Linked DNA regions of Pelodiscus sinensis. The protein of the gene in region 2 binds, or shares a complex with, the protein of the main gene of each other region. Links are inferred from orthologs where the notes say so. Each region holds a gene or a part of one and is shown on either strand. Other genes may lie near its edges.

What was found.
Region 1: the proteins of GINS1 (region 2) and CDC45 are in contact, whole or in part, in a cryo-EM structure (PDB 6XTY), measured with the Homo sapiens proteins. The link is inferred for Pelodiscus sinensis from reciprocal best matches to the Homo sapiens genes GINS1 and CDC45. Residues at the interface, in NP_066545.3 of Homo sapiens: Leu146, Tyr147, Glu149, Arg151, Glu158, Thr165, Ser166, Val167, Leu168, Lys170, Lys171, Asn172, Ser173, Gln174, His175, Phe176, Leu177, Pro178, Leu195; in NP_003495.1 of Homo sapiens: Arg18, Gln37, Phe40, Gln41, His44, Val45, Gln46, Tyr47, Thr48, Leu49, Val50, Pro51, Glu64, His65, Gln68, Phe69, Thr394, Asp395, Ile398, Leu401, Asp402.
Region 3: GINS1 (region 2) and MCM7 share a complex: the UniProt entries of both Homo sapiens proteins name them as parts of the CMG helicase complex. The link is inferred for Pelodiscus sinensis from reciprocal best matches to the Homo sapiens genes GINS1 and MCM7.
Region 4: the proteins of GINS1 (region 2) and GINS3 are in contact, whole or in part, in a cryo-EM structure (PDB 8Q6O), measured with the Xenopus laevis proteins. The link is inferred for Pelodiscus sinensis from reciprocal best matches to the Homo sapiens genes GINS1 and GINS3. Residues at the interface, in NP_001085502.1 of Xenopus laevis: Met1, Phe2, Cys3, Glu4, Ile7, Ile10, Arg11, Leu13, Gln14, Ser17, Asp18, Gly19, Gln20, Leu21, Glu49, Arg55, Asp57, Leu58, Pro60, Thr61, Lys63, Phe64, Arg65, Cys67, Cys68, Arg71, Arg74, Cys75, Val77, Ala78; in NP_001080618.1 of Xenopus laevis: Trp2, Pro4, Tyr5, Met6, Pro7, Val8, Glu16, Asn17, Phe18, Leu19, Ser20, Leu21, Glu22, Asp23, Leu24, Leu25, Ser27, Gln28, Ser37, Phe39, Pro40, Arg41, Leu42, Phe44, Leu45, Pro63, Trp65, Leu66, Gly69, Leu70.

The regions. Positions count from the first base shown.
Region 1 is NC_134725.1:17,708,533-17,716,274, reverse strand, and holds the start of CDC45 (cell division control protein 45 homolog), read right to left. Parts: upstream 3,011-7,742; 5' UTR 2,695-3,010; coding exon 2,644-2,694; intron 1-2,643. Other genes in the region: UFD1 (ubiquitin recognition factor in ER-associated degradation protein 1), read left to right, coding at 3,570-3,572, 5,223-5,355, 6,861-6,893, 7,564-7,685. UniProt on the Homo sapiens protein: Required for initiation of chromosomal DNA replication. Core component of CDC45-MCM-GINS (CMG) helicase, the molecular machine that unwinds template DNA during replication, and around which the replisome is built.
Region 2 is NC_134713.1:198,381,236-198,389,180, forward strand, and holds the start of GINS1 (DNA replication complex GINS protein PSF1), read right to left. Parts: upstream 3,013-7,945; 5' UTR 2,930-3,012; coding exon 2,855-2,929; intron 547-2,854; coding exon 482-546; intron 1-481. UniProt on the Homo sapiens protein: Required for correct functioning of the GINS complex, a complex that plays an essential role in the initiation of DNA replication, and progression of DNA replication forks.
Region 3 is NC_134734.1:7,475,530-7,482,890, forward strand, and holds the start of MCM7 (DNA replication licensing factor MCM7), read right to left. Parts: upstream 3,009-7,361; 5' UTR 2,847-3,008; coding exon 2,816-2,846; intron 2,719-2,815; coding exon 2,642-2,718; intron 2,087-2,641; coding exon 1,922-2,086; intron 1,819-1,921; coding exon 1,694-1,818; intron 1,560-1,693; coding exon 1,379-1,559; intron 205-1,378; coding exon 67-204; intron 1-66. Other genes in the region: AP4M1 (AP-4 complex subunit mu-1), read left to right, coding at 3,378-3,435, 4,163-4,257, 4,427-4,533, 4,669-4,765, 4,896-5,006, 5,808-5,888, 6,013-6,075, 6,337-6,403 and 2 more. UniProt on the Homo sapiens protein: Acts as a component of the MCM2-7 complex (MCM complex) which is the replicative helicase essential for 'once per cell cycle' DNA replication initiation and elongation in eukaryotic cells.
Region 4 is NC_134722.1:46,266,784-46,273,915, reverse strand, and holds the start of GINS3 (DNA replication complex GINS protein PSF3), read right to left. Parts: upstream 3,010-7,132; 5' UTR 2,975-3,009; coding exon 2,795-2,974; intron 485-2,794; coding exon 251-484; intron 1-250. Other genes in the region: diacylglycerol O-acyltransferase 1, read left to right, coding at 3,303-3,381. UniProt on the Homo sapiens protein: Required for correct functioning of the GINS complex, a complex that plays an essential role in the initiation of DNA replication, and progression of DNA replication forks.

The DNA.
Region 1 (7,742 bases), on a different chromosome or scaffold from region 2:
CAACCCAGCAGCACCCCAGCTGCTCTGCCCCAGGCGTCCCCAAGTCAGCTTCTGCTGAAACTGACCAGCGCTGACTACAGGAAGCCCCAGGCAGAGTTGCTCTGCCCCGGGCTTCCTGGAATCAGCTGCTGATCAGTTTCAGCAGCAGCTGACTTGGGGATGCCTGGGGTTCTTAAGTTGATTCTGTATGTAAGTCAGAACTGGCGGTCAGTTTCAGCAGTGTCTGAATCTGGACGCCAGTTCTGACTTACATACAGATTCAACTTAAGAACAAACCTACAGTCCCTATCTTGTACGTAACCCGGGGACTGCCTGTATAGCGATTTTCAAAAAAAGTTATAGCAATATCATGTTTTTGCAACATGTTTTTCCAATAAAGATTTAACAAGAAGCTCTAAATAACTCATAAGAAAGTGATTTCTTCTGTGAAAAGGCATGCCAGTTTCCTAATGGGATCCTTCTGTTATCAAGCAGCAGCTTTGACATCTGATGTCTTGACCCTTTGATGAAGTTCAATAAATCTGTTCTTCCTTATCTTAAAATCTGTATTTCAAAATGTAAAGGGTAAAATGACAACATTTTCAGCATTCATATGTCTGAAATTATGTTAAGCATTTATCAAAAGCTGGCAATCGTATAACTGATGTAAATTAATTTTATTACAGGATTTTTCTTTAAAATTTTTGCAATCAAATAAGTGATCTCTCATTCTAACTTTATATAACCCTATATTCTGAAACCAAAAGAACAACTCTTGACAGTGCTTGGTATATATTAATTAGTGTCATTTGATAGTTTTTGGCCATGTCTACACAACAAAATTAGGTTACCATACAGACAATTGCAGTTTTAAAATTGCTCGTTGATGCATACACTAGGGATGTTCCTGGCCAGCCGGATAACTGTTCACTTGATAAATACTGCTTACTGGTTAACAGTCCCAGTTAACCTCAACAAATCTCACCCCACTCCATGCTCTGCCTTTAAAACTCAGACTGGCAAGCTGGCTCAGTCCCAGCCCATCAGTTCAAGTTTTATATGAAGAGCATGCAGGGGAGCTGCCCGCCACCCTGTGCTGCTGCCTCTATATCAAAGGCAGGAGCAGCCCCTTTCTACTGTGGGCCCAAGCTCCCCACAGACAGAAGCTGCTGCCATGGAAGCAGCAGTGGAGAGGCAGGCTGTATGAGAAGCCACATTGAAGGGCAGCAGGAAGTCTGTACAGGGAGCTCATTTTTAAACCAGCTCCCCTGGTGGACCAACTCCCACCAATCACACCACACTGCTGTCTCTGAAACAGACACAGCAGCATAGAGTGGCAGGTGAGAGTCGGATCATGAGAACAGCTGATTAAAAATTGGAGGCAGCAGCTGCAAGGTGGCAGGGGACTTCCCAGGAGTGGGCCAGAGTATACTGACTGCCGGCCCTGCCCCTGGGGACATCAAATAATCATGTAACGGCTAAGAATTGTTGCAGTTACACAATTAGTAAAATAAAGGATTTCTAACATCCCTAGCACACACGTAGCTCCTTGTATCAGTGGTGGGCATCATCGCCTGGAGAACTTGTATATCAATGTGGGGCATCACTGGACAGCTTCTGAAAGCCATAAGTTGCTGTATGCAATGCAGTGACACTGTGTTGATTTAATTACATCAACAGTGATGGAGATGGTAATACAAAATAAGCACAGAGAAGCATTTATATGACCAATGCTGGAAGCCAAATTTAAATAAAGACCTACAGCAAGATTGACATAAGCGGCTTATGTCAAGATAACCCTGTAATTGATTTTTACATCAAGACAGCTAGCTTGATGTAAAACTCAATATAAAATCCTAGCGGCCACAAGGCACCTAGTAGCTTTTACTTCCACATAGCTCCCTATCTGGGATTTCTCTCAACAAGCTACACCCAGGTAGATGTCACCGCTCCTTGTCCTCACCAAAATGCTCTTTGTCCATTTCACAATTCAAAACATTCCAAAACCTTGTTGCTGATTCTGAGACATTTTGCGTCTCAGCTCTGAGTGCACTCCAAAGAATCCAGGCAATAAAGCAAAGCACACTCTGAGCGGTGATGTACCCAGGTGAGGACTCCACTTGACCACTACGGGCAACCGAGCCAGAACTTGAATGCAAACCCTCCCTGCTCAGTCGAGTTCGATCTGAAACCAGCATCTGGCACCAGCAGCCGGTGGGAGAGAGAGGAGCAGGGTGCAGGGCTCTGGAGGGGGAAGAGGAGGGGAACCCAGCGCCTATCATGAGGCTGAAAGCAGGGCAATGCATAGGCCCCGGCTCGGTATGGCGGCTCCCTAAGTGACACGGTCCCGCCCTATCAGGACCCTGCGGAGCGCGGATCCAGCCCGACCCACGGGGCGTTGCGCGGAGAAAGGCGCAAGACCCTCCAGAGTCTAGCTAGGAGCCCTCCCATCGCGAGCGACCCCTCTACCCTCAAAGCACCTGCTGGCGGGGAGCGGGGAGAGAGACAGGAGCTGGAGCAGGGCGGCCCGGCGGTTGCTGGAACCCGCTACCTCACTGGGCCAGGAGTTAGTAGGCCCCGTTCAGGATGCGGGTTCGCTCCCCCTGGGCTTGTCTCCGCTCCGGTTCGGGCTTCATACTCCCCCCCGCCCCGGACGCCGCTTACCTGAGTCACTATCACCTCGTAGAACTCCTTACGGAAGTCGGAGAGGAACATTGCCGAGACCGGGCCGCTACCGCCGCGCTGCAAGGCGGGAGAGCGGCGACTGCTGGTGTTGCTCCCTCCGTTCGGATCTCCTCAGTCTCACTCAAAGCAGGCGCCAAATCGCGCCAATTCCCATTGGTCTCAGCGTCCTGGCCACGCCCCAATAACATTCCAGTACTTTGTATCTCTACAGCTCTGATTGGACTATCCATCCGATCGTCTCAGCCCTCCACCAACCACATTGCGATTGTGGCGATCGAGGAGCCGAGCGATTGGCCAATCGCCACGAAGCGCTCCTGAAACCGCCATTTTGTGTGTCCGTCTACATCGCCCATCATCGTCGCCATTGTTGACATGGGCAAGATTCCTCACCAGCCCCTCTATTAGATATAAACAAGCCATAAGCTCTAAAATATAACTGTTTCAGGAGTGAATAGGAAAAATCGTTTGTTTAACAAAAAACGATGTTGACGCCTGTGAAGCAACTTCCGCCTTTTCTCCAAGGGGCTGCACCGGAAGTCTCTTGGCTTTCTCAATAAGGGGCTATTGATAAGCCGTTGCATTCTGGGAAATGTAGTTTAGTGGGAACAGTGGACCAAACCTCCCAAATGTTTTTCGCGCCTTTGAGACCTATGAGGGCGTTCGGTTTCTGCTGATCGCGTTCACCGCTGGTAGGATAGCCCCCACGCCTGTCGAAACTGAAAGTCACTCTTAGAGCAAAGGGGCAGGGCCCAGTGATTTCCTCCTCCCTGCTTCCCTTTCCCTCAGCAGAGGATTTCCTGTGGGGGGAGGAGCAGCCGTCGCTGCATTGATCCTGCCCAGACGAGAAGGCGCTTCTCTGGGATCCCCTGCCGAGAGCTGTATAAGCAAGAAGACGGCGCGACAGGATGGTAAAAGCCTTTCCGGGGGTTTGTGGGGGTGCCTAAGAACGGGGGGCGCAGGGGGACGGGACGGAGAAAGCTGCGGAGTCATCGCGCGTGCATTGTTGTGCCCGGGCAGGGGAGGCGCTAGGGGAGCCTGTCCAGCAACAAACACGTCACTGCTCTGCGAGGGGGTCGGAGTTTGTCCCTTTGGGCCCAACGCATTGAGGGAGCCGCCTCAGGGAGCCTGTCTGGGACATAAGTAAACAACCCTCCTCTTCGCCCATCCCTCCCTCCCGGCCCCGCCGCCTTTCCTTTCACAAGTAGCCGACTGGAACAGGAGAGGTTTTTAAAGCCCTCTCTGGAAACCTCTCCAGCAAAGTCTTTGCTCCCAAGAGCAGAGGATAGCTAAGAAAGCAACCCCAATTTAGCCTGCCCACTCATTGATGGTTGCAGGGTGGCTTTTTTGTGTAGTGATATATGGAGACAAGTCTCAGAGCCATGTTTGTCTGTATCTGCAAAAACAAGAGTCCTGTGACACCTTATAGGCTAACCAGTGTGTTTGGGCATAAGCTTTTGTATGTAAAAGCCACTTAATCAGATGCATGCATCTTTGTCAGCCATCTGACAGAGTGGTTTTTATGCACAATAGCTTATGCCCAAACACATCTATTAATATATAAGGTGCCACAGCACTCCTTATTATATATGGAGTAATCTTAAAAAGTTTACAGCCGTGGTGCCCAACAAACTAGTCACTAGCCACATTTGGCTGTTTGGCCAGTTGATTGTGGCTAATTCGCTATAGCTTCAATACTGGTTGGACACCACAGATTTAGTCTGAGTCGCCTCCTTTCCCCTTAATTCTGAGTATTTCCTGAGAAATTCTGAGTATATTCCCTTTCGTTTGTTTTACTACCTTACTGTATTTCTATGCATGATTTGCTTTCAGGAATGATGAAGACCTAAGACTGTGCTTATTTTTATACTATATGCACTGTCATCTCTTTTATCATTAAAATAAAAGTGTAATTGTACAAAAATATCCTTCTGCCACACCTAAGTTGAATATCTCTTACCCTGTGCTGAAGAAGTAAATACAGTAAAACTGCAATAGTCCAGCATCCAATTGTACGGATGCCTGATAGTCTGGCATCAAAATGGCAAGAGCCTAGTGAGTGAGCTTTGGCAAAAAACGAGTCACAAGGCGGCGGCGGCAGCAGCAGCAGCAGCTGAACTGAACAAAACCGTACTGGACTGAGTCAGTCTGCCACTAGCATTGTGTGACGCTGGACAGTGCTTGTGCTATAATAAAAAGGGTTAAAAACACTTTATATACAGTATATTGTGTGTGTGTGTGTGTGTGTGTGTGTGTGTGTGTGTGTGTGTGTGTGAGAGAGAGAGAGTGATATATATATATATATATATATATATATATATATATATATATATATATATATATATATATATATAAAAACCATCTTATAGTACCTCCTGTTAGTCCAGCATATCCAATAATCCGGCACCACCTAGGTCCCAAAGGTTCCGGATGATCAGAACTCTACTGTAAATGACAATCACTTGTATTCTTCGTTGAATTTAAATAATCTCTTTTGTAAAAATCTTAAGTCTGCTGGTGTCTTTGCAAAGTGGATCAATGTCTTTTCTTTCCTCCCACAGTTTTCTTTTAATATGTTTGATCATCCAATCCCCCGAGTTTTCCAGAACCGCTTCTCAACCCAGTATCGTTGCTTCTCAGTATCTATGCTTGCAGGACCTAATGACAGATCAGATGTGGAGAAAGGCGGGAAGAGTATGTGCATGTTTTATTTTGAATAATACACTGCTGAATGTTACATATAAATATTCAGTAGTATTGTATATGGCAGGTGATTGTAGAAACAGGATGAGGCCAAAAACATAATAAAGCATGGAAACTTATTGATGGCTTTGTGATTTCAGTTAAAGGGGAACTCACAGATTAAATAATCTTTTCTTACATTAATATAGTTTAATTGATGTTGATGTTCCTGATTTATCTTTGTGTAAACTAGAAGTCACATGATTTAAAAAGAAAACAAGTGGCTTTACTTGTCATTTAATATATAAATCATTTAAAAATCTGTTGTTTTTACCATATATGTTGTTTTAACTTCCTCTTTATGTTTCACTCAGTTTGAACAAGGAGAATAGATTTGTCAGCTCTGTTTTCAGGCTCCCATATTTAAATCCAATGCTGTGTTGTTGAGTTGTCAGCATTTTGGTTGTTTAATTATAACCAAATAAAATTACTTTGGGAAAATATGCTAATGTTTTTAAAATATTAGGTTTTGTAAAACTTTCTAAATTCTCCCACTTGCCCCACTCAGAATTTATATTTTGAGTTAAAACTACTAGATGTTTTTGTCTAGACCAGGGTGGGCAATAATTTTTGGTGGGGGGCCACTCAAAGATTTTAGTAAGTGGTAAAGGGCCGCAATTTTCTGTGGAGGATCTAGGGTGAAGATTGGGTGCAGAAGGACTCATGGAATAAGGGACTGGGGTGCAGGAGATGGCATGAGGTCTTACAGGGTGTTTGGGTTGAGGAGGGAGTTGTGACTTGTGTATGGAGATTGGAGTGTAGGGTCAGGATGGGAGTGTGGGTGCAGGAGAAGATTCTGTCCTGGGGGAGGGATGTAACAGGTGGTACAGAATCTGGGAGGGAGTTGTCACCTTGGGCAGGAGGTGCAGATGATTATCTGGGGGAATGAGTTGGGGTGCTAGAGGTAGGCGCTGGACGGGAGGAGTTTACCTAATTCTCTCCTGGCCGGCAGCCCCAGCCCACTTAAAAATAAAAGCTCTTCCTCCACCGGCTCTCAAGTCCCACTGCCCCAGTCACTCAGGCCAATATCTCAGTTCCAATTGGCTTGCTGTTTCCAGCCAATTGGAGCTGGGAGATTGGCTGAGGTCAGTTCTTATTGGCTGATTGTTTCTGGCCAATAGGAGCTAAGGATTGGGCTGGGGGCAGGGAGATTGCATGAAGCCTCCCTCTCCCTGCAGAGTAGAGAAATGCAGGGACAGCTTACAAGTGCCTCAGGGTTCTGGCAGGGTGCCCCGTGGGACAGATCCTGTGGCTTGGCAGGATGGACCTAGCCCCCACGCTGTATTTTGCCCAGCCCTGGTCTAGACTGATTCTGATAGCATTTGTAGCTCAGAAATTCAGAAGCCTGGTACAATGCTGCCTGCCAAGAAGGAATGATCAAACTGTATAATTTTTTGTGGCTTTCCGTAGCCATGCTGTTCCTGTTCTTATTGTAACTTTTTTATTAATTTCTGCAGTAATTATGCCACCATCTGCTTTGGATCAACTCAGTAAGTAATTTTCATTCTATTGTAAGAACACTAGAAATTTAGTGCTGTGTGTATGTGTAGGCAAACAGCAGAAAATGCTTTATATAGTCATTAAAATGTGATTTAGAAAGATATACTGGAAAAATCCATACTTTGAGGATTTTTTTACATAGTTTCTAAAAGGGTTTTGTTTTATCTGCACATAGTTCAAATGCAAAGCAGACAGTTTTAAGCGTTCTAACAGCTGCCTGACACTAGTATCAATTCTTAAATTGATGAAATTATCATGCTTTATCAATAATTTCAAATATTTGTATGTGTTTGCCACCTTGGTTCTGTTGTCTTGGCCTCCACTGACTGAAGTGAATTCACAAAGTTTATTTTATAAGTAGAAGAATGGAGGTTCTAGACACTAAGCTGGGTTTCTTCCATTTATGCGGGTCTGCTAGAAGTCAATAGTTTTAGTATACCAAATATATCAAACAGTCTTTCCTCCTTTTACTAGCTAAGGTGTCTTCTGTCTGATCTTTATCTCCTTTAATAAGTTGTTTGTTGGAGGTGGGGTACTTGGAAAGACTCTCAATTTCTCTAGGATATTGTCTATTTATCCTGCTAATATTCAGTCTCTGCAGCCTTTATAAATCTACTATGAGTTTTATAACATATTGTATCTTTTTTACCCTTCTGCCAGGTCGACTTAACATTACATACCCAATGTTATTTAAGCTGACCAATAAAAATTCAGATCGAATGACACATTGTGGTGTGCTAGAATTTGTGGCTGATGAAGGCATTTGTTACCTTCCACATTGGGTAAGTGGTTTTACACCAAAGTGTCAGAATTTAAAGTACAGGATTAGTGGGGTGATG
Region 2 (7,945 bases):
TGAATTTTTACATCCCCTCTTTAATTCAACTGCTTGATAAACTACTGGATGAAAAGCTCTTGTTAAAGATACAGCATTTGATCCCTTCAACTAAAGGCTGAGTTTCTAATCCACAATTCCAGATCTTCCACTGAAGCCCTTCATCAAAACAAGACAGACATCAATCACATCCTTAGTATTTCAGACTTAGATTTTTTTTCTTTAATCATCAGAAAGAAGACAACAACTTGAACAGTGCATAGTCCTGCAGCACCTTAGAGACTAATGGAAAACGTAGATGGTATCATGAGCTTTCATGGGCACAGCCCACTTCTTCAGATGAAAAACTAACACAGCTACCCGTCTGAAATCTTCATGGCCCCTCAACGCACATGAACAAAGAGAAACATCCCTGTCTTTGTCATTTCTAACGAGGCGGCTTGCTTTCCCTTTTCCCTTGTGTAGGCAGCTCGTTAGCTGTCCTGCTCCAACCAGCACTTACACGTCAGCCTGGTTCTGTTCATATAAAGCTTTCATCTCCTCCAGAACTTGTCGGATTCCATCCTCCTGCAACAGACCAAATGGCAGCAGGCACTGGGATTACTGGAGGGGAGTCACGCTGGGAACACGCAGAAGGCGGGGGGGTGGGCTCACGTTGGAAGGCCGGCGAGGGGTGGGGGGGCTCACGCTGAAGGGAGGGGGAGGGGCGGAGCAGGCTCACGCTGAAGGCTGGGGCGGAGTGGGGGCGGCGGGGCTCACGCTGAGGGGCGGGGGGAGGAGCGGAGCGGGGGGGGCTCACGCTGAAGGGCGGGGGGAGGAGCGGAGCGGGGGGGCTCACGCTGAAGGGCAGGGGAGGAGCGGAGCGGGGGGGGCTCACGCTGAAGGGCGGGGGGAGGAGCGGGGGGGGCTCACGCTGAAGGGCGGGGGGAGGGGCAGGGCGGGGGGGGCTCACGCTGAAGGGCGGGGGGAGGAGCGGGCCGGGGGGGGGCTCACGCTGAAGGGCGGGGGGAGGAGCGGGCCGGGGGGGGGGCTCACGCTGAAGGGCGGGGGGAGGAGCGGGCCGGGGGGGGGCTCACGCTGAAGGGCGGGGGGAGGAGCGGGCCGGGGGGGGGCTCACGCTGAAGGGCGGGGGGAGGAGCGGGCCGGGGGGGGGGGCTCACGCTGAGGGGCGGGGGGAGGAGCGGGCCGGGGGGGGGGCTCACGCTGAAGGGCGGGGGGAGGAGCGGGCCGGGGGGGGCTCACGCTGAAGGGCGGGGGGAGGGGCGGGCGGGCTCACGCTGAAGGGCGGGGGGAGGGGCGGGGGGGGCTCACGCTGAAGGGCGGGGGGAGGAGCGGGCCGGGGGGGCTCACGCTGAGGAGCGGGGGGAGGGGCGGGCGGGCTCACGCTGAAGGGCGGGGGGAGGGGCGGGGCGGGGGGGCTCACGCTGAAGGGCGGGGGGAGGAGCGGGCCGGGCGGGCTCACGCTGAAGGGCGGGGGGCGGGGCGGGCCGGGGGGGCTCACGCTGAGGGGCGGGGGGAGGAGCGGGCCGGGGGGGCTCACGCTGAGGGGCGGGGGGAGGAGCGGAGCGGGGGGGGCGGCTCACGCTGAGGGGCGGGGGGAGGAGCGGAGCAGGGGGGGCTCACGCTGAAGGGCGGGGGGAGGAGCGGGCCGGGGGGGGGCTCACGCTGAAGGGCGGGGGGAGGGGCGGGCCGGGGGGGGGCTCACGCTGAAGGGCGGGGGGAGGGGCGGGGCGGGGGGAGGGGCTCACGCTGAAGGGCGGGGGGAGGAGCGGGCCGGGGGGGGGGCTCACGCTGAAGGGCGGGGGGAGGAGCAGGCCGGGGGGGGCTCACGCTGAAGGGCGGGGGGAGGAGCGGGCCGGGGGGGGGGCTCACGCTGAAGGGCGGGGGGAGGAGCGGGCCGGGGGGGGGGCTCACGCTGAAGGGCGGGGGGAGGGGCGGGCGGGCTCACGCTGAGGAGCGGGGGGAGGGGCGGGGCGGGGGGGGCTCACGCTGAAAGGCGGGGGGAGGAGCGGGCCGGGGGGGGGGCTCACGCTGAAGGGCGGGGGGAGGGGCGGGCGGGCTCACGCTGAGGAGCGGGGGGAGGGGCGGGCCGGGGGGGGCTCACGCTGAAAGGCGGGGGGAGGAGCGGGCCGGGGGGGGGCTCACGCTGAAGGGCGGGGGGAGGAGCGGGCCGGGGGGGGGCTCACGCTGAAGGGCGGGGGGAGGAGCGGGCCGGGGGGGGGGCTCACGCTGAAGGGCGGGGGGAGGAGCGGGCCGGGGGGGGGGCTCACGCTGAGGGGCGGGGGGAGGAGCGGGCCGGGGGGGGGGCTCACGCTGAGGGGCGGGGGGAGGAGCGGGCCGGGGGGGGGGCTCACGCTGAAGGGCGGGGGGAGGAGCGGGCCGGGGGGGGGGCTCACGCTGAAGGGCGGGGGGAGGAGCGGGCCGGGGGGGGGGCTCACGCTGAGGGGCGGGGGGAGGAGCGGGCCGGGGGGGGGGCTCACGCTGAAGGGCGGGGGGAGGAGCGGGCCGGGGGGGGGGCTCACGCTGAAGGGCGGGGGGAGGAGCGGGGCGGGGGGGGCTCACGCTGAAGGGCGGGGGGAGGGGCAGGGCGGGGGGGCTCACGCTGAAGGGCGGGGGGAGGGGCAGGGCGGGGGGGCTCACGCTGAGGGGCGGGGGGAGGGGCGGGCGGGCTCACGCTGAAGGGCGGGGGGAGGGGCGGGGGGGCTCACGCTGAAGGGCGGGGGGAGGAGCGGGCCGGGGGGGGGCTCACGCTGAAGGGCGGGGGGAGGAGCGGGCCGGGGGGGGGGCTCACGCTGAGGAGCGGGGGGAGGGGCGGGGCGGGGGAGGGGCTCACGCTGAGGGGCGGGGGGAGGGGCGGGCCGGGGGAGGGGCTCACGCTGAAGGGCGGCAGGTGCCCGTCGGCGGCGCGGTGCAGCCCCCGCACCAGCTCCACGGCCCGTTCGCCGAACATCGGGCCTCACACCCCGGCGGGAAGCGCGCGCGCCGGCCGCTCCGCCAATGGCAGCTCGTGGCCACGCCCCCTCCCGACAGAGGCTGGCAAGGGACAAACTTCCCCCGTTCCGTAGCTCCGCCCATGCCCAGCACTGGAATCCAGCGAAGGCGGGGCTGTCCCCAAGTGACGTACAGTAGCCAGGCCCCGCCCCCTTGTGCTGTATCCCAGGCCTAGGGGCACTGGGGAGGTGGGGCAGTGTAGCCAAGGCCCAAACAAAATTATGTGGGTAACTTTTCCAAATCTCTAGTAAGACTGCTGTGTTTAAAAATTAACTGTGCTGGAAAAAAAAGGGTGATAAATAAGTCTGCAAGTCTTTAATGCAAATGCAATCACTGTTCAGATAGCGGAAGAGCTAATTGGGGTATAAAGTCTCCAGCTGTGACAAAGCTATCTGTGTTCCCAGGCAATGTGGTCTGGATGATTTGGGTGAGGTAATATCTGGAGAGAGAGCCAAGCTCCTTGCTCTCACCAACAGAAGTTTCTGTACCGGCAGTGAAAGACGTGACCTCTCCCAGCTTGCCTCTCACCAACGTGGGGGACTTTAATCACCCTGACATCTGTTGGGAAACCAATACGGCAGTACACAGGCAATCCAGGAAGTTTTTGGAGAATGTTGGGGATAACTTCTTGGTACAAGTGCTGAAGGATCCGACCAGGGGCCGTGCACAGCTTGACCTTCTCCTCACAAACAGGGAGGAACTAATAGGGGACGTAGAGGTGGGTGACAACCTGGGAAGCAGTGATCATGAGATGGTAGACTTCAGGATCCTGACCAAAGGAAGGAAAGAGAGTAGTAAAATACACACCTTGGACTTCAAAAAAGCAGATTTTGACTCCCTCAGAGATCTGATGGAAAGAATCCCCTGGGATGTTAACATGAAGGGGAAAGGAGTCCAGGACAGCTGGCAGTATTTTAAAGAAGCCTTATTGAAGGCACAGAAAGAAACCATCCCGACGCGTAGCAAGAGAGGCAAACCTGGTAGGAGACCGGATTGGCTTACAGGGGAAATCCTTGGTGTACTTAAGCACAAAAAGGAAGCTTACAGAAAGTGGAAACTTGGACAAATGACTAGGGAGGAGTTTAAATGTATAGTTCGAGAATGCCGGGGGGTTATCAGGAAGGCAAAAGCGCAAATGGAGTTGCGACTGGCTAAGGATGTGAAGGATAACAAGAAAGGTTTCTACAGGCATGTCAACAAGAAGAAGGTGATCAGAGAGGGTGTGCAGTCCCTAATGGATGAAGGAGGTAACCTAGTGACAGAGGATGTGGGGAAAGCTGAAGTACTCAATGCTTTCTTTGCCTCTGTATTCACGGACAAGGTCGGCTCCTGGACTTCTGTGCTAAGCAACGCAAGATGGGAAGAAGATGGACAGCCCTTGGTGGGTAAAGAACAGGTTAGGAACTATTTAGAAAAACTAAACGTACACAAATCCATGGGTCCGGACTTAATGCACCCAAGGGTACTGAAGGAGTTGGCAAACGTCATTGAGGAGCCTTTGGCCATTATCTTTGAAAAGTCGTGGAGATCGGGCAAAATCCCGGATGATTGGAAAAAGGCAAATGTAGTGCCCATCTTCAAAAAAGGGAAGAAGGACGATCCAGGGAACTATAGGCCGGTCAGTCTTACCTCGGTTCCTGGAAAAATTATGGAAGGGATCCTAAAGGAATCCATTTTGAGACACTTGAATGAGAGGAAAGTGATCAGGAATAGTCAGCATGGATTCACAAAGGGCAAGTCGTGCTTGACCAATCTGATTAGCTTCTATGATGAGGTAACTGGCTCAGTGGACATGGGAAAGTCAGTGGATGTTATATACCTTGACTTTAGCAAGGCTTTTGATACGGTCTCCCACAATATTCTTGCCAGCAAGTTAAGGGAATGCGGATTGGATAAATGGACGGTAAGATGGATAGAAAGATGGCTAGAAGGCCGGGCCCAGCGGGTAGTGATCAACGGTTCGATGTCAGGATGGCGGTCGGTTTCTAGTGGAGTACCCCAAGGTTCAGTTCTAGGACCGGTTTTGTTCAATATCTTTATTAATGACCTGGATGAGGGGATAGATTGCACCCTCAGCAAGTTTGCAGATGACACTAAGCTAGGGGGAGAGGTAGATACGCTTAAGGGCAGAGATAGGGTCCAGAGTGACTTAGACAAATTGGAGGATTGGGCCACTAGAAATCTCATGAGATTCAACAAAGACAAGTGTAGAGTCCTGCACTTGGGACGGAAGAATCCCAAGCATAGTTACAGGCTGGGGACCAACCTGTTAAGTAGTAGTTCTGCAGAAAAGGACCTGGGGGTTACAGTGGATGAGAAGCTCGATATGAGTCAACAGTGTGCCCTTGTAGCCAAGAAGGCTAATGGCATATTAGGCTGCATTAAGAGGAGCATTGCCAGCAGATCCAGAGATGTCATTATTCCCCTTTATTCGGCTTTGGTGAGGCCACATCTGGAGTACTGTGTCCAGTTCTGGGCCCCCCACTACAAAAAGGATGCGGACGCATTGGAGAGGGTCCAGCGGAGGGCAACCAAAATGATTAGGGGTCTGGAGCATATGACCTACGAGGAGAGGCTGAGGGACTTGGGTCTGTTTAGTCTGCAGAAGCGAAGAGTGAGGGGGGACTTGATAGCAGCCTTCAACTTCCTGAAGGGAGGTTCCAAAGAGGATGGAGAGAGGCTGTTCTCAGTAGTGACAGATGGCAGAACAAGGAGCAATGGTCTCAAGTTGTGGTGGGAGAGGTCCAGATTGGATATTAGGAAAAACTATTTTACTAGGAGGGTAGTGAAGCATTGGAATGGGTTACCTAGGGAAGTAGTGGAGTCTCCATCCCTAGAGGTGTTTAAGTCTCGGCTTGACAAAGCCCTGGCCGGGTTGATTTAGATGGGATTGGTCCTGCCTAGAGCGGAGGGCTGGACTTGACGACCTTCTGAGGTCTCTTCCAGTTCTGATTCTATGATAAGGGGATGGTTGGATGAAATAACATGATCTTGGTAACTAATTGACCATTCATTACCAGTTGGAAATAGGTCAATGGAGGGATGATAGGAGTTGCTATAGGGAACTTTCTGGGTGTCTGGCTGGTGAGTCTTGCCCCCATGCTCAGGGTTTAGCTGATCGCCATATTTGGGGTCAGGAAGGAATTTTCCTCCAGGGTAGATTGGCAGAGGCCCTGGAGGTTTTTCGCCTTCCTCTGTAGCATTGGGCACAGATCACAGCTGAAGGACTCTCTGCATGTTGGGGCCTTCAAAGTATTTGAAGGCTTCAATATCTGAGACATAGGTGAGAGGATTATTCTAAGAGGGGTGGGCGAGATTCTGTGGCCTGCACTGTGCAGGGGGTCAGACTAGATGATCATAATGGTCCCTTCTGACCTTAAAGTCTGAGTCTATGAGTCTATGAACGTGGCTACAGTGTTGAAAGATAATGGTAAGAATACAAAGTGGAAAGTGGGACTGTGCTGGGGACTAGAGGCCATAAGAGCTGCCACACTGGATCACCTTGCTCCATCTTGCCCAGTGTCCTGTCACCGACAATGGCCCACACCAAAGCTCAAGAAGGAGTGAATAGAACAAAAGCATTTCTGGAATGATTCATCTCCTCTCCCACCAAAGTAGGGTTTCCCTGAGCAACGGCGTGCTTTCTTAACATGCTGGCTAATTGCCTTTGATGGATTTATGTGCCATTAATGTATCAAGGTCTTGTTTGAACCCAGCTACGCTTCTGGCAATCGTAACATCCCACAGCCATGAGCTCCATGCTTAGTTTTGTATTGTATGAAAAAGTACTGCCTCTTGCTTGTATGAAGCCTTCTGCCCAGTCATTTCCTCAGATGACCCCTGGTTATTTGAAAGGGTAAAGGTGATGGGGTGTACGGACCCACACTAAGGGTAGGGGACTTGTGTGGGACAAGAAGGCCCTGCCCCTCCGCAGCTGCAGACCATGCTCCAAATGGAAGACTTGTGTAACGGGATTTTGAGGCAGCCAAGGGGAGGGTGAAGGAGAAGCTGTCTGTAGGAAGGCAGCCAGGCTATAGCTTCTGGAATAGCGGGATCCATAGGGGAAGGGACTGGACTGGGTAAGAGGCCAAGCATTTTGTTCCAGGCACCCCTTCTCCAGGCCCCTGTGGGCCCTGAGCCAGGAGCTGGGAGAGCAGGAGGACCTGCGTCGCCCTACCCTTTCCCCGTCTTCTGGATGACCAGGGGAGTGTGGAGAGCACCAGGGAGGAGCGATTGTAACTCAGCTAGAGGTGAAAGTAAGACAGTGCACCCCAGTGCACCGCTCTAGCAAGGAGTGACGAGACGGGGTACTTGGCTGCAGGAAGAGTGAAGGCATGCTCCCAGGGCTTCCTGCTAAGCAACAGGCAGGTTGAAGGGTCTGTCTGGGGGTGCACACCCCCGCCGGTGCAGAACTGCCCTTTTCCACTTCCACTGTATCCTTTTTGAGACTGGCAACCAGCATCGGACACCGTATTTATTGACGCACCATGGACTGATAGTGACATGGTATTTTCAGTCTTATTTTCTATCCCTTTCCTAATAGGTCCTAACGTATTATTTGCCTTCTGGACCAGTACTGTGCATTGAGTAGAAATTCGAATAGAATTATCCACAGAGACTCCAAGCTCTCTCTCTCCAGTGATGATTCCACATTAGCTGTCTCAACTGTCTATGTACACTTGGGCTGTTTTTTCTCAATGTGCATTACTTTGCATTTATGAGCATTTTGAATTTCATCTGCTATTTTGTTGCCCGGTCACTCAGTTCGGTTAGATCCTTTGTAACTTCAGAGTCAGCTTTGCATTTAACAATCTCAAATAATTATTTATTGTCTGAAATGTTTGTCACAGCGTTCAGTCTTTGCCGCCTCATTACTGACTATCTTGAACAGCACAGATCACAGTATAAATTCTTGGGAGACCCTGTAGTTCATCTCTCACCATTTATTCCTATCCCTTGTTTCCTGTCTTTGAAC
Region 3 (7,361 bases), on a different chromosome or scaffold from region 2:
ATCAGGAGCACCCAGATCGGTCTTTGGGATCCCCAAACTCATCCCTCCCATTTGCCCCCCACTCACATGCTCCTGCATCTTTAGCTCCTGGAACTTGATGAACTTGGAGCCACGGCTCTGCAGATAGAGACGCCCCCCGGAGCGGTTGGTCTGGCACTCCTGGCTCGGGCACATGATCAGCGGCATGAAGGTTGGGGCCTGGATCTGCAGGGGTGGGAAGAGGGTCTGAATCAACCAGCCACCCCTCTCCACCACACCTAACCAGGGAACACAGCTGCTCCCTCGTGCCCAGCTGGGGGCATGACAAAGTAGGGACGTTCGTCATTTGCTGATCTCAATAAGTCTCAGTTTCCCCATGTTTCCTAGCTGCCCAGTAAAGGAAGGGCAACAAATGTGTTCTGAGGACCAAGTAACTGACATGGGTGCTGAAGGAGCTGGATGAAATAGACCTCAACCCACCAGGGGCCCACAAGACAAGGTGCAGTCGAGTGACTAGAGATCTCGTCACCCCTCGGCAGGGAAGCAAGCAGAGACCCCAGCTACAGAACACAGGCCAAGAAAGCGTGAGGTAGGGATCTAAAATCCCAGCTAATCGGTTAAATGGTTAAGCATTAGATTAACCTAGTTGGTTAACCACGTAAACATTAAGCGGGATCTCACCACTCCAGCCCCCACACTAGGGCTGGCTCTGCCAGGGCAGGAGGGGCATGTCCCCCCCCCCGCTCCCGACTTCCCAGGCTGTGTTGACTGCCTGGGCGCCGTAGTGAACAGGCTCCTGCAGGGCGAGACAAGACTCTCCCAGGTGTAAACCTGTTTCACTGGCTGACTGGAGCACAGGGTGGGACTAGTCTCTGGAGACATAAGTCCATGTGGCTGGCTCAAGAAACACCTAGGGGGTCTGTCACATCAATGGGGTCCCTGGCACAACAGAGGGGTATAGTCCTGTGGACTGGTGACAACAGCTCAGCCATTCATCAAATTAAATTCATAGGTAGCAGGCTTAAAACAATCCAAAGGAAATATTTCCACGCACAACACAAAGTCAACCTGTGGACCTCTTTGCCAGAGGTTATGTCCAACACTATAACACGGTTCAAACAGCTAAATAAATTCATGGAGAACAGGTCCATCGATGGCTATGAGGCAGGATGGGCAAGAATGGTGTTCCTAGCTTGTGTGCCAGAAGCTGGGAATGGATCATCACTGAATGGTTACCTGTTCTGTTCATTCCCTCTGAAGCACCCGCTTTGGCCACTGATAAAAAACAGGCTAGTGGTCTAGATGGACCTTTAGACTGACCCAGTATGGTTGGTCTTATTTTCAGCCCTGAGCTGACAGCCAGCCGGCAGGACAGCTCAGCCCAGCCCCTTCCACTCACTGGCTGGTAGGTCTCCGCTCCACACTGATCACAGCTGTAAGTAGCCACCACCATCATGGGCTTGACCTCAGTGACACGGGTGACGATGCCGCGCACGGTGACCAGTTTGCCAATGCAGTCGGCTTTCACGTCCCGGATCACGCGGGCCTTGGAGCTTGACGGTGCCTTGAAGTAGAGCTCACTGGAACAGAAGAGAAGGCCCACGAGTTAGAGCCATAGCAGGGGCCAGGGGGAGGAGAACCTGGTTGGGGGCAGGGGAGATTTAAAAGAGCCAGGAATAACAGGACCCCCACACCTCCCCTCACATGCACTCACAAGCGGCGCAGCAGCTCTGGGGGGTACTGGTTTTGGGGTCTGCGTGTCTCTGCTGTATCGTGGCCACGCTGCTCCAGCATCAGCCGGTGCTCAATGTACACGTCCAGGGCATCCTTGTGCACTACCTGGAGTGGGTAAACAGGGACTCTGTCAAGGTGCCTCAGCCACTCTCCCAAAGCTCCTTCCACCCACCAGTATCCCTCCTCCCTCACCACCCCTCTCCTTTACCTCATGCTGCCTGTGAAGGGGTAGCAGCTCGTGCACAGCGTCGGCAAAGAGGCGGGTGTAGCGCTTTGCATTCTCGCACACAGCATCCACTAACTCAGGGTCCTCCTCTGCCAGATCATCCAGCTCCACATACAGAGCCACCTGCTCCCTCTGAGCCAGGGCTACCTGCGGGGCAAGCACAGGTTGAGCAGCTGGGGGTGAGGCCCGGAGCCGCCAGAAGTGGGAAACATGGGTGCAGAGGGAAGTAGGGATGATAAATATCAGTTAATTGAATAGTTGGGTAAGCTCATGAATTCTTATCGCTTAGTCAACCATTCTCTAACCCCAGCCTCACTCCCGAGAAGCCCCCGCCACTCCACACGGCTGCTGTATCAGCGGTAGCTTTGTGGGGTGCCAGGTGGGAGCTGGTCCATAAGACGAGCCAGCGCCCCTCACGACTGGCTTCCTGTCGCTCTATGCTGCTGCCGCTGCTAAGGCAGTTGCGCCCCTGCGCAGGAGGAGGGCTGAGCGGAAGGGAGCCGGGCTGCCCGCCCACCCCGCTCCTAATACACTTCGCAGCGCCTCAGCGGGGGCAGGCCCTGGACCCAGCGCAAGCCAGGACTGAGCCGGGCCGCCCTGCTCGAAAATGCGCTGGGAGGGGAGGGGCAGCGCGCAGCCGGCGGCTGTTGCTTCTGGCGCTCGGCGCAGCGCCCCAGGGCGAGGGGGGACGTTGAGTCTCACCAGCCGGTCCCGGTAGGGGAACTCCTTGCCATGCGGGCCGGGGCGGCAGAACTGCTCCAGGAAACGCTGCACCTTCCCTGGGGGGGGGGGGGGGGGGAGAGTGTCAGTCCAGCCCTGCCCCCAGCGCGGCCCCGACCCTCCGCCCCCCCGTCCCGGCCGCGCGGCAGTAACCACCTTTCTCCGCCGCGTAGTCCTTGGGCGCCATGGCGGGGACGGGGCCTACGGGTCGCCGCCGGAGTCAGCGCAGGCCGCTCCCGACCGACCCCTCCTCAGGTTCCTCCCGGCTGTCGCCACAAGCAAAAGTGGCGCGAAACCAGAACCATACCACGTGTCTGGCCCCGGCCAATCAGGACCTGGTCCCACCCCGGGGCCACGTGATCCGCCCAGCCCGCAAATCGGCGCTCGGGCCGAGCTGAGCCTGTAAGCCCCGCCCTCACGGCTCCATCACGTGACAGCAAAGTCCCCTCGCAACAGCCGGGTTCGAGCAGAGCCGGTGAGATTCCCCCAGGCCCCGCCTCCTCTTAAGGGAGCCGCGAAGTCGGGGAGAAGAGGGAGGTAATGGGCGGGGGGCGCAGGGTGAGCCGGTAGCAGGGGCTGGGATTCGAAATGAGAGCGGGGTTTCCTGGCAGGGGCGGAGGGTGTCGGGCAGGGGACGGGGTTTCCGGGAGGGGGCGGGGCCAGGTTTCAGGGCAGGGCCCCACTCACGCTCTCTTTCCCCCCACCCCAGGCCTCCGAGATGCTGTCTCAGATTTTCATTCTCTCCTCCAAGGGAGACAGACTCGTCTACAAGGACCGTATCCTACCCTGCCCTGCGGGCTCCCCAAACACCGTCCTAGCACCCCGGACTCCTCCACGTCCCCCAGCTCCCCAAATGAGGGATGTTAGCATACAGTTGTGTAAGCGATTAACCGATAAGCCTGGCTTTATCGGTAAGTCCTAACAACTACACACCCTCCCCCCGCTTGCCCTCTTTCGATCTGGATCCCATAGAACCCCCCGCCCCACACCCCAAGGTGAAGCGAGAGCCGATATGCACAGGGGGCTGCCTTTTAAGCTCCCTGCATGTGCTGGCTTCGTGGAGCTGCCTTGCCCTCTTGCTGCCTCCCACAAACACAGAGGCAGCAGCATGGAGTGGCAGGGAGCTCCCTGGGAGTGGGACCAGAAGCACACTGGCTGCACTCCAGGGACTATCGAATAATTGTGTAACCACCAAGATTTGGTGTGGTTACATGGTTATTAAACATCTAACATCCCTACACCAAATCCTCCTGCCTCTAGTGCTCTGGACCCCTCCAAGGCCATCTCCCCAAATACCCTGATATAGCCCCCTAGACCTCCCCCTTCCAAATGCCCCCTTGCATAGCTCCTCAAGTGTCCCATGCAGATCATCTTGGCCCCCGGGGGAACCCCAACTGGGCACCACCTCCACATCTGGCTTTCTAACTGGGCACTACGGGGGGAGAGGGGGAGCTCTCAACCATACTGCCCAGATGGGATGATTTCTCTTTAACCCCCTCCCAGTGCGTGGTGAGGCAGCAGGGAGCAGCATGGACCTGACGGACACTTTCTATAGGAAGATCACAGCCCTGCCTAGGGACCAGGCACCTGTCTTTATGGTAAAGGGGTGGGTTCCACAGCTCTGCAGTAATGTGGGGGCATCACTATAGGGATGAAGCATCTCTACGATAACAGAAGTGGAGAGCATCTGGGCAAGTATGTGGGAGAGAGGGGTACCCCCTGGTGAGGGAGAGGGTCCATATAACTCTGCTTGTGTTTCCGCTACAGGTGCATGAGGGGCTGCACTTCGTCCACGTGCGTCACGCCGGCCTCTACTTCGTGGCTACGACAGGGCACAATATCTCCCCTTTCACCATCATTGAGTTTCTCAACCGGTGAGAGGGGCAGGTGTAACCCCAGGGCACAGGGGGTAGACAGGGATATGGTGGAGCTCAGAGGATGGGGACACACAGCGGGAGGGGATGCACTGAGCCAACCCTGCCCTCACCTGTCTCTCTCCTTTCCCACAGGCTGGTGACGCTGATCCATGATTATTGTGGTGCTCTCAGTGAGAAAACCATTAGCCTCAACTTCGCCCTCATCTATGAGATGTTGGACGAAATGCTGGTAGGCAAGCACTGCTGAGGAGCACCTTACCTGGGGCACTGCTGCAGGGAAGCTTGCAGCTCTAATCTCCTGTGCCAGTGGCAGGGGCACAGGTGGGCTCTCCCCCTCACTCTGTACTCTCCCCCCATAGGACTATGGCTATGTCCAGACCACAGCACCTGATGTATTGCGCAACTTCATCCAGATGGAGCCAGTGCTCAGCAAGGCCTTCAGCCTGCTGGACCTGGGCAGTGTTGGCCTGGTGAGTCCAGTTTTCCCCCCCCTCCCACTGTCGGCCTGGTGAGTCCAGTTCCCCCCCAGTGTCCAGGCAACATCTGACCTGTGAGCCCCTTAAAAACACCATGCTCGCCCAGTGAACGTCCCCAAATCCCCTGCTCCCCCAGTGCTGCCTGGGCAGTGTTGGCTTAGCGAATCTAGCCCCTGAACCATCCCATGTCTCCTTCCCACCAGCACTCTTTGGGCAGTGTCAACTTGGTGAGCTCCGTCACCAAATCTCCCAGTGTCCTGTGGGCAGCTTTTCCTGGATCTGGGCCCCTGGGTAGCATCAGCCTGGTGAACTTGGCCCCCCAGATTTCCCCCCACCCCCATGTTTCCTCCCCTTCAGCACCTTCCCAGGCAGCATCAGCCTAGAGAACTCCCCCAAATCCCACCCGTGTCCCCACCTCCCACTGTGCCCTCCCAGGCAGCAACAGCCTGGTGAGTCCCAAATCCCCACTGCATCCCCTGGGCAATGTCGCCCTGATAAACCCAGCCCCAAATCCCCCCAGCCCCCACCCCCGGTCAATGGCCTGATGATGCCACTCTAAGCTCCGATCTCCTCTCTCCCAGCACCCCTGAATAGCAGCAGCCTCACGAGCCCTCCAAATTCCTCCCCGCCCCCCCATATTCCCTCAGCCCCCTTAGCCATCGGCTCCTCTGGGGAAAATGTTACCCTGAGAGAGATCCGGTCATGGGGTACCTAGTATCCCCAACCCCAACCCCTGGGAGCCCATCAAGGCACCATCCCTGGGCCCTACTCCGACCTTCTCCCCTTTGGTTTCAGTTTGGTGCGGAGACACAGCAAAGTAAAGTGGCTCCGAGCTCAGCCACCAGCCGCCCTGTTCTGCCCCCCCATGGGGACCAGGTGAGACACCCCCAGCAGTATGTTGTCCCCCCCCTTCCTGCTCTAGCATGGAGCGGGCCCCTCTGTCTGGGATGGAGAGGGCCTGCTGGCAGCAGTCACATGAGCACTGGCTATCTCCCTGCAGGGTGCGAGGAACGAGGTGTTTTTGGACATAGTGGAGAGGCTGACAGTCGTCATTGCTGCCAATGTGAGTCAGAGAGGGGAAGGTGTGAGCCGGGGGTTTTGCATCCTGACACACAGCCCCTCCATCAATTTACAGGGTCAGAGCAAAGGCTGAGCTTCTAACCAGGCCCAGGGCGGGGATCCCTTCAACCCCCTAAGGCACAAAATTTAGCCCCACAGCTTCCCCACCACAGAGCCTGAGCAGCCCTCCCATCGTGCACCGCCTCCCAAGGGAACCTGCTCCGACCCGTGTCATTGTCTGGGCCTCACCCCATGTTCTCCCCAGGGTACCCCCATGAAGGTCGACATCCAGGGAGAAATCCGCCTCAAGAGCTATTTGCCTAGCTGTCCCGGTGAGTAATGGCTGCAGCCCCACAGCCTGAAGCAGCTCACGTGGGCCAGACCCTGGTGTTTCATTGCTGAGTAGATATACCCATTGTGAGCGGGAGAAAGCAGGGCTGGGGGCAACGGCGACTGGCCCCGGCCTGGGCAGCTCTCCCCTGGCTGAGTCCCTTAATACTCTCTCCCCTCCCTGTAGAGATGCGCATTGGGCTGACAGAAGAGTTCTGTGTGGGGAAGTCGGAGTTGCGAGGTGAGTAGCCACTGCCAGTCTCTATTCCGCCTCACAGGGCCCCCTCATTCTGACTCCCCGACCTTTGCTCACTGCAGGCTACGGCACCGCTGTTCGCGTGGACGAATGCGCCTTCCACAGCTCCGTTAAGCTTGATGAGTTTGAGAGTGCCCGTGTCCTAAAGGTCAACCCCAGCCAAGGGGAGGTGAGCCCTGTGCATAGCAGCTGGGCCTCTGCTCCTGGTGCAAGACCATGGGACGCCCAGTCTGGCCCCATCCATCTGTGCCTTCAGCTCCACCAACCTGACCACATCGAACACGAGCTGGCCGAGTACACGACCTGCACTCTGCAATTTCAAAAGCCTCAGCCCTCTAGCCAAGTCTCACACGCTGTGTATGAATCAACAAACCCCTTCTGGGATACACATCTACCGGGGCCCAACTCTGTGCCCTCCGTGGAGCTCCTCTGAGTCTATTCCCCACTCAGAGAGAAGGGTGCCCCCAGGGGTTTCCTTCCTGGAGGCAGCATCTCTGCCCTTCCCTCATGGCTTTATCTCAGAGTCCTCAGTAGTTCTCCACACGGAGCTGTCCGCAGTGCTGCTGCTCTTTCAGCCAGCCAATCTCCCCGTCGGCATACCTTGAAGGCTCCAGAAACATGAACTGCTGCCTGGCTTCTTGCCTTTTGGTTCTGCCATACGTTGCCCCAAAAGGCCTCCAGGAGGGGACCTTGGGGCCTGATCC
Region 4 (7,132 bases), on a different chromosome or scaffold from region 2:
GGAGACAATCGCTTGATCATTGTCTTCGGTCCACCCTCTCTGGGGTACCTGGTGCTGGCCACTGTTGGTAGACAGGATACTGGGCTAGATGGACCTTTGGTCTGACCCAGTACGGCTGTTCTTATGTTCTCTGACCTGGAAGTCCTTATTTAAGCTAAAACCATGGTTACAACAGAAGAAGGTTTGCCTGAGCGCAGCAAAGAAAAAGGAATCCAAAGCTACCAAAGGAAATATGGTTTCAGATACTTGCCTGCAGTATAGTCTGAGCTATTTCTGGATTCTCTGGATTGTCAAAATTCAAGAGCTGGGAGCCAAAACCATAATAGTATGGCCCCATTTTATGAAGGTCAACCACATTGGCATCAGCACTGAACACCGTCCGCCAGCTTTCCTTGTAAATCTTAGGCAGTTCCACTGAAAGGATCCTCCGTTTGATGTCATACAATCCTTTTGCTAGCCATAGGGGTATTTCCACCTTTGAGCCCTGCATGCACACAACAGAAACCCCACCCCCCAGAAACAGAGGTAAATAAACTCTGACCAGGATAACAAAAAACATGAGATTTAGATGAACACTGAAGATTCACCAGAGAGTGATTTGATGTCAATGTGTAGTAGTGGAAACGAATGTAAATCAGATTTTTATTTGAGAAAGATAACGCCTATAGACACCAGAGAGAGAGCGTGTGAGTGCGCGCGGCGCGTAAACAAACCCTGAAAGGATAAAAACAATACTACAGTGTAAGGAAATTTACAAGTAGAGCCCCAGGATCCTGCAGACACTTTCAAATATCTGCAACTTTGCTCATATGATTCCGCCAACAGGACCACTCCAGGAAGTAAATTTAAGGAAGGAGTGGGGAACCTTCAGGCCTGGCCCGCAGCTTGCCTGGATCCAGGCCCCAAGGCTCAGGGCTCCCTCCCCCCTCCCAAGCACTGGGGATCCCGCACTGGTGCTCCAGCCCCCCATCACTCCATTGCTGGAGTCCCCCCCCCCCCCCCCCGACTCTGGCCTCCGCTGGGGACTCTCGTACATTTCAAAGACGCACCCAGGTGGAGTCCGGAGTCAGCCTCCTGGGGCTCTTGTACATTTCAAAGGAGGAATGTGGAAGTGCCTATCGACTAGTCGATGGAAATTCCATTGACTAGTCAATTAACCACATTTTAACATCCTTAGAATCAATCATTCACTGCAACCAGGCAGCAGAGGCCAAAATAAATAAATAAATAAATAATCAAGTGTTAAAAGTAAGCTATTAAAAATAAACTTCTAAAAAGATTTAAAATGAAAACATTTAAAAAGATTTGTCAAAGGAAACGGTTTCTGTGCTTGTGTAATTTAAATTAAAATGGGTAAAAGTAGCATTTTTCTTCTGCATAATAAGGTTTCAAGTTCAAGGTTTACAACGTTCAGTTGTAAACTGTTGAAAAAGACAACCATAACACTTCAGAGTTACAACTGTCAGGATTCATTCATCTGAAGAAGTGGGTTGTGCCCACGAAAGCTCATGATCCCATCTACATGTTTTGTTAGTCTTTAAGGTGCTGCAAGACTATTCGTTTTTTAAGTTTTTCCAGTTATAGCGGGGTGAGTAATAATTTTTGAAGAGGGGGCCACTTCACAAATTTCAGACCTGGAAGGGGTGGGGCCTCAGGCGGAGAAGGGGAGGGATTGAGAGCTACCCAACTGGCAGCTGTACTTGACCTGGGGTCCCCCCCAGACTTCTGGTGGAAGAGACCTGGAGCAGAGGGAAAGGTACCAGGGGCTAGCCTTCTCCCAGAGTTGTCTGGGTGGAGGTTTAGAATTCACATAACACAGCTTTCCCCCCTCCCCACTAACCTGTTGCCTGGCACCCGCAAGCCCTTTGAAAGATGCAGTTGAAAGGACTCTGTCTCACAGGCAGCTCACAGGCAAGGAGCTGGTGGGATCAAGAGCTATGAGCCCTTTCTACTGCTTTGGTTTCAAGGCCTTGTGCCCGCTGGTTGGAGCTGTCAGGTAACAGCTTTAGATAGAAGCAGGTGAAAGGGCTGAGCTCCCTGGCAACGCGCTAGAGGGGCCGGGAGCTGCCAGCCCTTTTAACTGTTTCTCTTTAAAGGGCTCTTGTGTTGCCCTGTGGCCTGTGGCTGCCAGGCAACCCGCTGCCCGACAGACATGGGGAAGGCAGGAGCCCTTTAAGAAGCAGTTGAAAGAAGCTCCCACGTCTCCAGCTCCCAGGCAACATGCGAGGGGCTGGATCCAGCCCCTGCGAGGCTTTTGCCCACCCCAGTTGCCGACTAACTTGGCTGCCCCTCGGGGGGATTCAGACCTCCACCCTGCAGGTGCCAGCGATGCTGGGGTGCTGCTGGCGGTGCAATGAACGGCAGGGCAGGGTCCCTGGACGACGCCCACAACTCGCAGCAAAGACCTGCGGGACGCCTCGCTGCAGTGCTTCGCGGGCAGCACGCGGGCAGGCCCTAGCCCGGGGGCGGTTAGCAAGCGAAGTCCCCGGCTGCCTAGGGAGACCTGGTTCCGAAGAGACCCCCCCGCGGCCGTACACGTGCTGGAGCCCAGCGGGCCCACCCCGCAGCCTCGCGCAAGCCCAGGCCGAGCGCGCGCTCCCGGGGAGAACCCCATTGGGCCCTGGTCACACCGCGCTGGCGCCTGCATTTCCCAGCATGCCCCGCTCCAGCCGGGAGCCCGTCACTCACACAACGGAGCGCTCCTCAGGCCAGCGGGAAGGGACAAGCCCCGCCCCCACCAGCGCGCGGTGGCTGCCGGGGGTTGTAGTCCCGGCGCCCTCCGGCCGCGCGTTACCTCCGGGATGCAGTCGCCTTGGCCGGCCCCCGAGCCCTTTCCCAGCACGGCGGCCAGGCGGGGCAGAGCCGCCTCCACGCGGCCCGGCAGCTTCTCCTGGGACATCAGGATGTCTCCCAGCGACAGGAAGTTCTCCTCGGGCCCCAGCCCGGGCTCCACGGGGAAATAGGCCTCGGACATGGCGGGGCGGCAACCTCCCAACCCCCTTTCCCGCGCTCCGCCGCGGTCAGGCAGAAGCAGCGGCCAAGGCTGGGGAGCGACAGCGCGCATGCGCCGCTTTCTGCCCGCTCCGCAAGCCGGCGCCAGGCGAGAGCAATCGAGGGCAGCGCGCGCGCCCTCGTCAGTCAGTCACGCTGCAAATAGCCGCGAGGGGTGCCCGGTCCCGCGGGGTGTGGGGGAGGGGCCGCTTTGTGCCTGACGCGGGGGCTGTCTCCCCCCCCCCCGATGGATTGTTGCGGGCGGGCGGCGCGAGCGCGGGGGGGGGGGGGGGGGCGCGTGCTGCTGCCTCATGACTCCAGCGGGGGCGGCCGGTAACCGACAGCGCGTCGTCGGAGCGCAGGCCCGGGGGCCGGCGGGAGGCGGAGCATGTGAGGGGGGAGGGGCGGTAGAGTGGGAGGGGCGTAGCCGCGGGTGAGATGGGGGCGGGGGGGGATCCCCATTTTCAGCGACGAACGACGTGCCCGCAGACCCCCCCTCCTCCCCCCCCCCCGCGGGTAACAAGCCCCAGTGCCGAGCGCCCTTCGCCCGCACCCCCGGACACGCCCGGGCCCCTTTCCTCCCCGGGCAGGTGGAGTCGCAGTGACACCCTGGGGAGACACCGCCCTGCCCTCGCAGTGGTGCGGCTTGGCTCCACCAGCCCTGCCCGGGCGCGCCGTGCACTGCGGGGCTTAACTCGGAACTAACCCGCCAGTGGAGCTACTGCCCTTGAGTAGCTTCATTCAAGTGTTGGTGCTGTCTGCACAGCAGGTATTTCAAACCAGAGCCCTCTGCCTCCCGCTTCCCTTGCTCCTTCTACAATGAGGGTCACGGGTTGCAGCAAGTGGCCCTCCAGCTCGACATGATTTGGACTGTATGTCGAAATAACTGCCAGCTGCATCGCTGCAGACTGTGGGTACGTCTAGACTACCGCGTTTTGTCGACGGAAGTTTTGTCGACACATACTGTCGACAAAACTTCCGTCGACAAAGAGCGTCCAGACATATTGAGTTCTGTCGACAAAGCAAGCTGCTTTGTCGACAGAACTCCGTAGTCTGGACGCAACGTTACAGGCAATAACACCTTCTGTCGACAGAAGGTGTTATGCCTCGTAAAATGAGGTATACCAGCGTCGACAAAATTGCTGAGTTCTGTCGACGTTATGTCGACAGAATTCAGCGGTAGTGTAGACGCTGGTATAGTTTTGTCAACAAAAGTCCACTTTTGTCGACAAAACTAGGTAGTCTAGACATAATGTTGCTGTGTTAGACATAGCCTGGGAACGCCTACCTTCTGGGCAACCCCTCTCCCTCTGCCCCAAAAGTTGTGGCGAAAGGACCTTAAAATGACATGTTGCACCGGATTCAGTAGGAAGACGGTCTCTGCTTCCAAAGAAGTTACAGTTTGGCTGTGTCTAGGCTGGCAAGTTTTTCCGCAAACTACTTTTGCGGAAAAACTTGCTAGCTGTCTACACTGGCTGCTTGAATTTCCGCAAGAACACTGATGATCTCATGTAAGAAATCAGTGCTTCTTGTGGAAATACTATGCTGCTCCCGTTCGGGCAAAAGTCCTTTTGCGCAAAAGGGCCAGTGTAGACAGCTCAGATTTGTTTTGCGCAAAAAAGCCCCGATTGCAAAAATTGCCAACGGGGCTTTTTTTGCGCAAAAGCGCGTCTAGATTGGCACGGATACTTTTAAGCGTTCGTGATAATCTAGACGCTCTTTTCCGCAAATACTTTTAACTGAAAGCTTTTCCGTTAAAAGCATTTGCGGAAAATCATGCCAGTCTAGACGTAGCCTTTTAGATTTAAAAAATGTAAGGAGGAATCCTGACAGAAGTCTCCTTGACTGTAATGAGGCCAGCATTTCCTTCCAAGAATTTAAATTAACACTAAAACCAAATCATTCAGAAGCTTTAAGCTACCCTGTCTAAATCGGGGGCAGATTGCAGGTATGTTCTTGTGGCATTCTATAAACTAGTGGCTTCCCATCAATACCTTGGTGCAAGACAAAGTGTTGTTTTTTTAATTTGATGTAAAGTTGTCTGGCCTGGAATATGAAAGGTATTGAGATACACCCTTCACTTGCATGGACTTGAGGTGCCTCTTTGAATATCTGGGCCTACGTGATTTGGTATTTGTTTGTTTTAGAGTGTGGCCATCTCCTCTGTGATGGCTGAAATCAACCGATCTCGGTGAAAGCAGGTCTTGGTTGGAAGGCCCATGTCTGGAATTTTCTCCTGACAGGTGTCAGATCTCAAATTTGTCAGCATATTGTCTTAGGCTCATCTTTTCAGCTAAACCTTTGTGACTGGATGTTACAGGCACTGGAATAAGTTCACAATGATGCAACTCTGGTAGTGTATTGCTGACAGCAGGAAGTCAGCCTGGATTTCTGGGGCATAGGGGTACAAACCATCCTTGCCTCTCTTGGGCTACGTCTAGACTACATGCCTCTGGCGACAGAGGCATGTAGATGAGGCTACCAGGCATAGGAAAATGAAGCAGCGATTTAAATAATCGCCGCTTCATTTAAATTTACATGGCTGCCGCGCTGAGCCGACAAACAGCTGATCAGCTGTTTGTCGGCTCGGCGCTGTAGTCTGTACGCACGGGTGTCGACATCAAAGGCATTTGTCTACCACCCAGGTATGCCTCCTGGGATGAGGTTTACCTGGGTGGTCGACAAATGCCTTTGATGTCGACACCCGCGCGTCCAGACTACAGCGCCGAGCCGACAAACAGCTGATCAGCTGTTTGTCGGCTCAGCGCGGCAGCCATGTACATTTAAATGAAGCGGCGATTATTTAAATCGCCGCTTCATTTTTCTATGCCTGGTGGCCTCATCTACATGCTTCTGTCGTCAGAGGCATGTAGTCTAGACTAGCCTTGGACATTCTATGTCGACTGAGTTTTAAAGCTATCCTTCCCTATCAGAACCCTAGTGGAGAGCACCTGTGATATCACAATTGCCTGTGTTTGAAGTTTGAATCTTTAGTGCAGCCATTCTAACAGGCACAGCAGGGAAGCTGCAAATTGCACTCCATTGTGCCCAAGGGGTGAATCTGGCCTTATCCACAAATTGTATAAAGACCACAGTGAGTATGAATTTGAATCTATGTGGTTAGGGTTGTTTTTTGTAGTGGAAACATGGGTCATTCTGCTTAATAAGGGACACAGTGAAAATCCAGACAAATTAATGCTAAGTAGGTTTAAGTATATCTTAATGATCTCTTAATGCCAAAGTTTTAATTGTTAAATTGTTTTCATGCTGAGGCAGATTATTGGAATGTAATTCAAATGCCACATTCACTTTAGTGTTACAACTCAATAGACCAGAGATAATGCTCTAGCACAAAGTCAAACTCTTTGGGCCAGATTTTGATCTTGGGTACACAAGTATAACTCCAGAGTAACCTCACAGATTTCACTGGAGTTACTCAAGACTTACATTGGTATAACTGAGAGCATACTTTGACTTCTTTTGTCCTTGTCTTGTTTAGAACTTTTAAAATGTTTTACATTTTTGGGGGAATTCATTTTTTCTTTGCTTAATTAAACCTTGTTTGCCCTGCCTTTAATTGTGCATGTTGAGAAATAAAATAACAATAAAACACCTGCACTGTTACTAAGAATGGTAATCTGTACAATAACAGAACTTTTCTATCATTGTTAAAGATTTTATTTTCCTTTTATCAAGAATTATAGCTTTGTTTATCAGTCTCTCATACCAAGCTTTGAGTAGGTTTGAAAGAAATATGAGCATCAGTGCACTCGTGGGAAGTAGCAATTTGAGTTGTTCTCACAGTTTTTGATGTCTTAAGCAGAATTATATTTTTGAAACCCACTTTGTTTCCCTTTCAATCAAAGACATACTGGCAAATGGACTGGGAATGGATCAAAGATAAGGGTGGGATTTTGAAAAACACTAAGCAGATTTCAGAAGGCGTCAGGAGCTTAATTCTCATCAACATTCTTGAAAATTCCAGCCTGTTTTTAGTGTGGTCAGCAGTAAATTCGAAGGGTGGTAACTAATGTAGCCAAAAACAGTAGCCTGAAAAAAAGCCTGAATAGAAGAATTCCATAGAGAATATAGTGATCATGAGACTTTGAAAAAAGTATGGCCCCAAATATATTCATATATT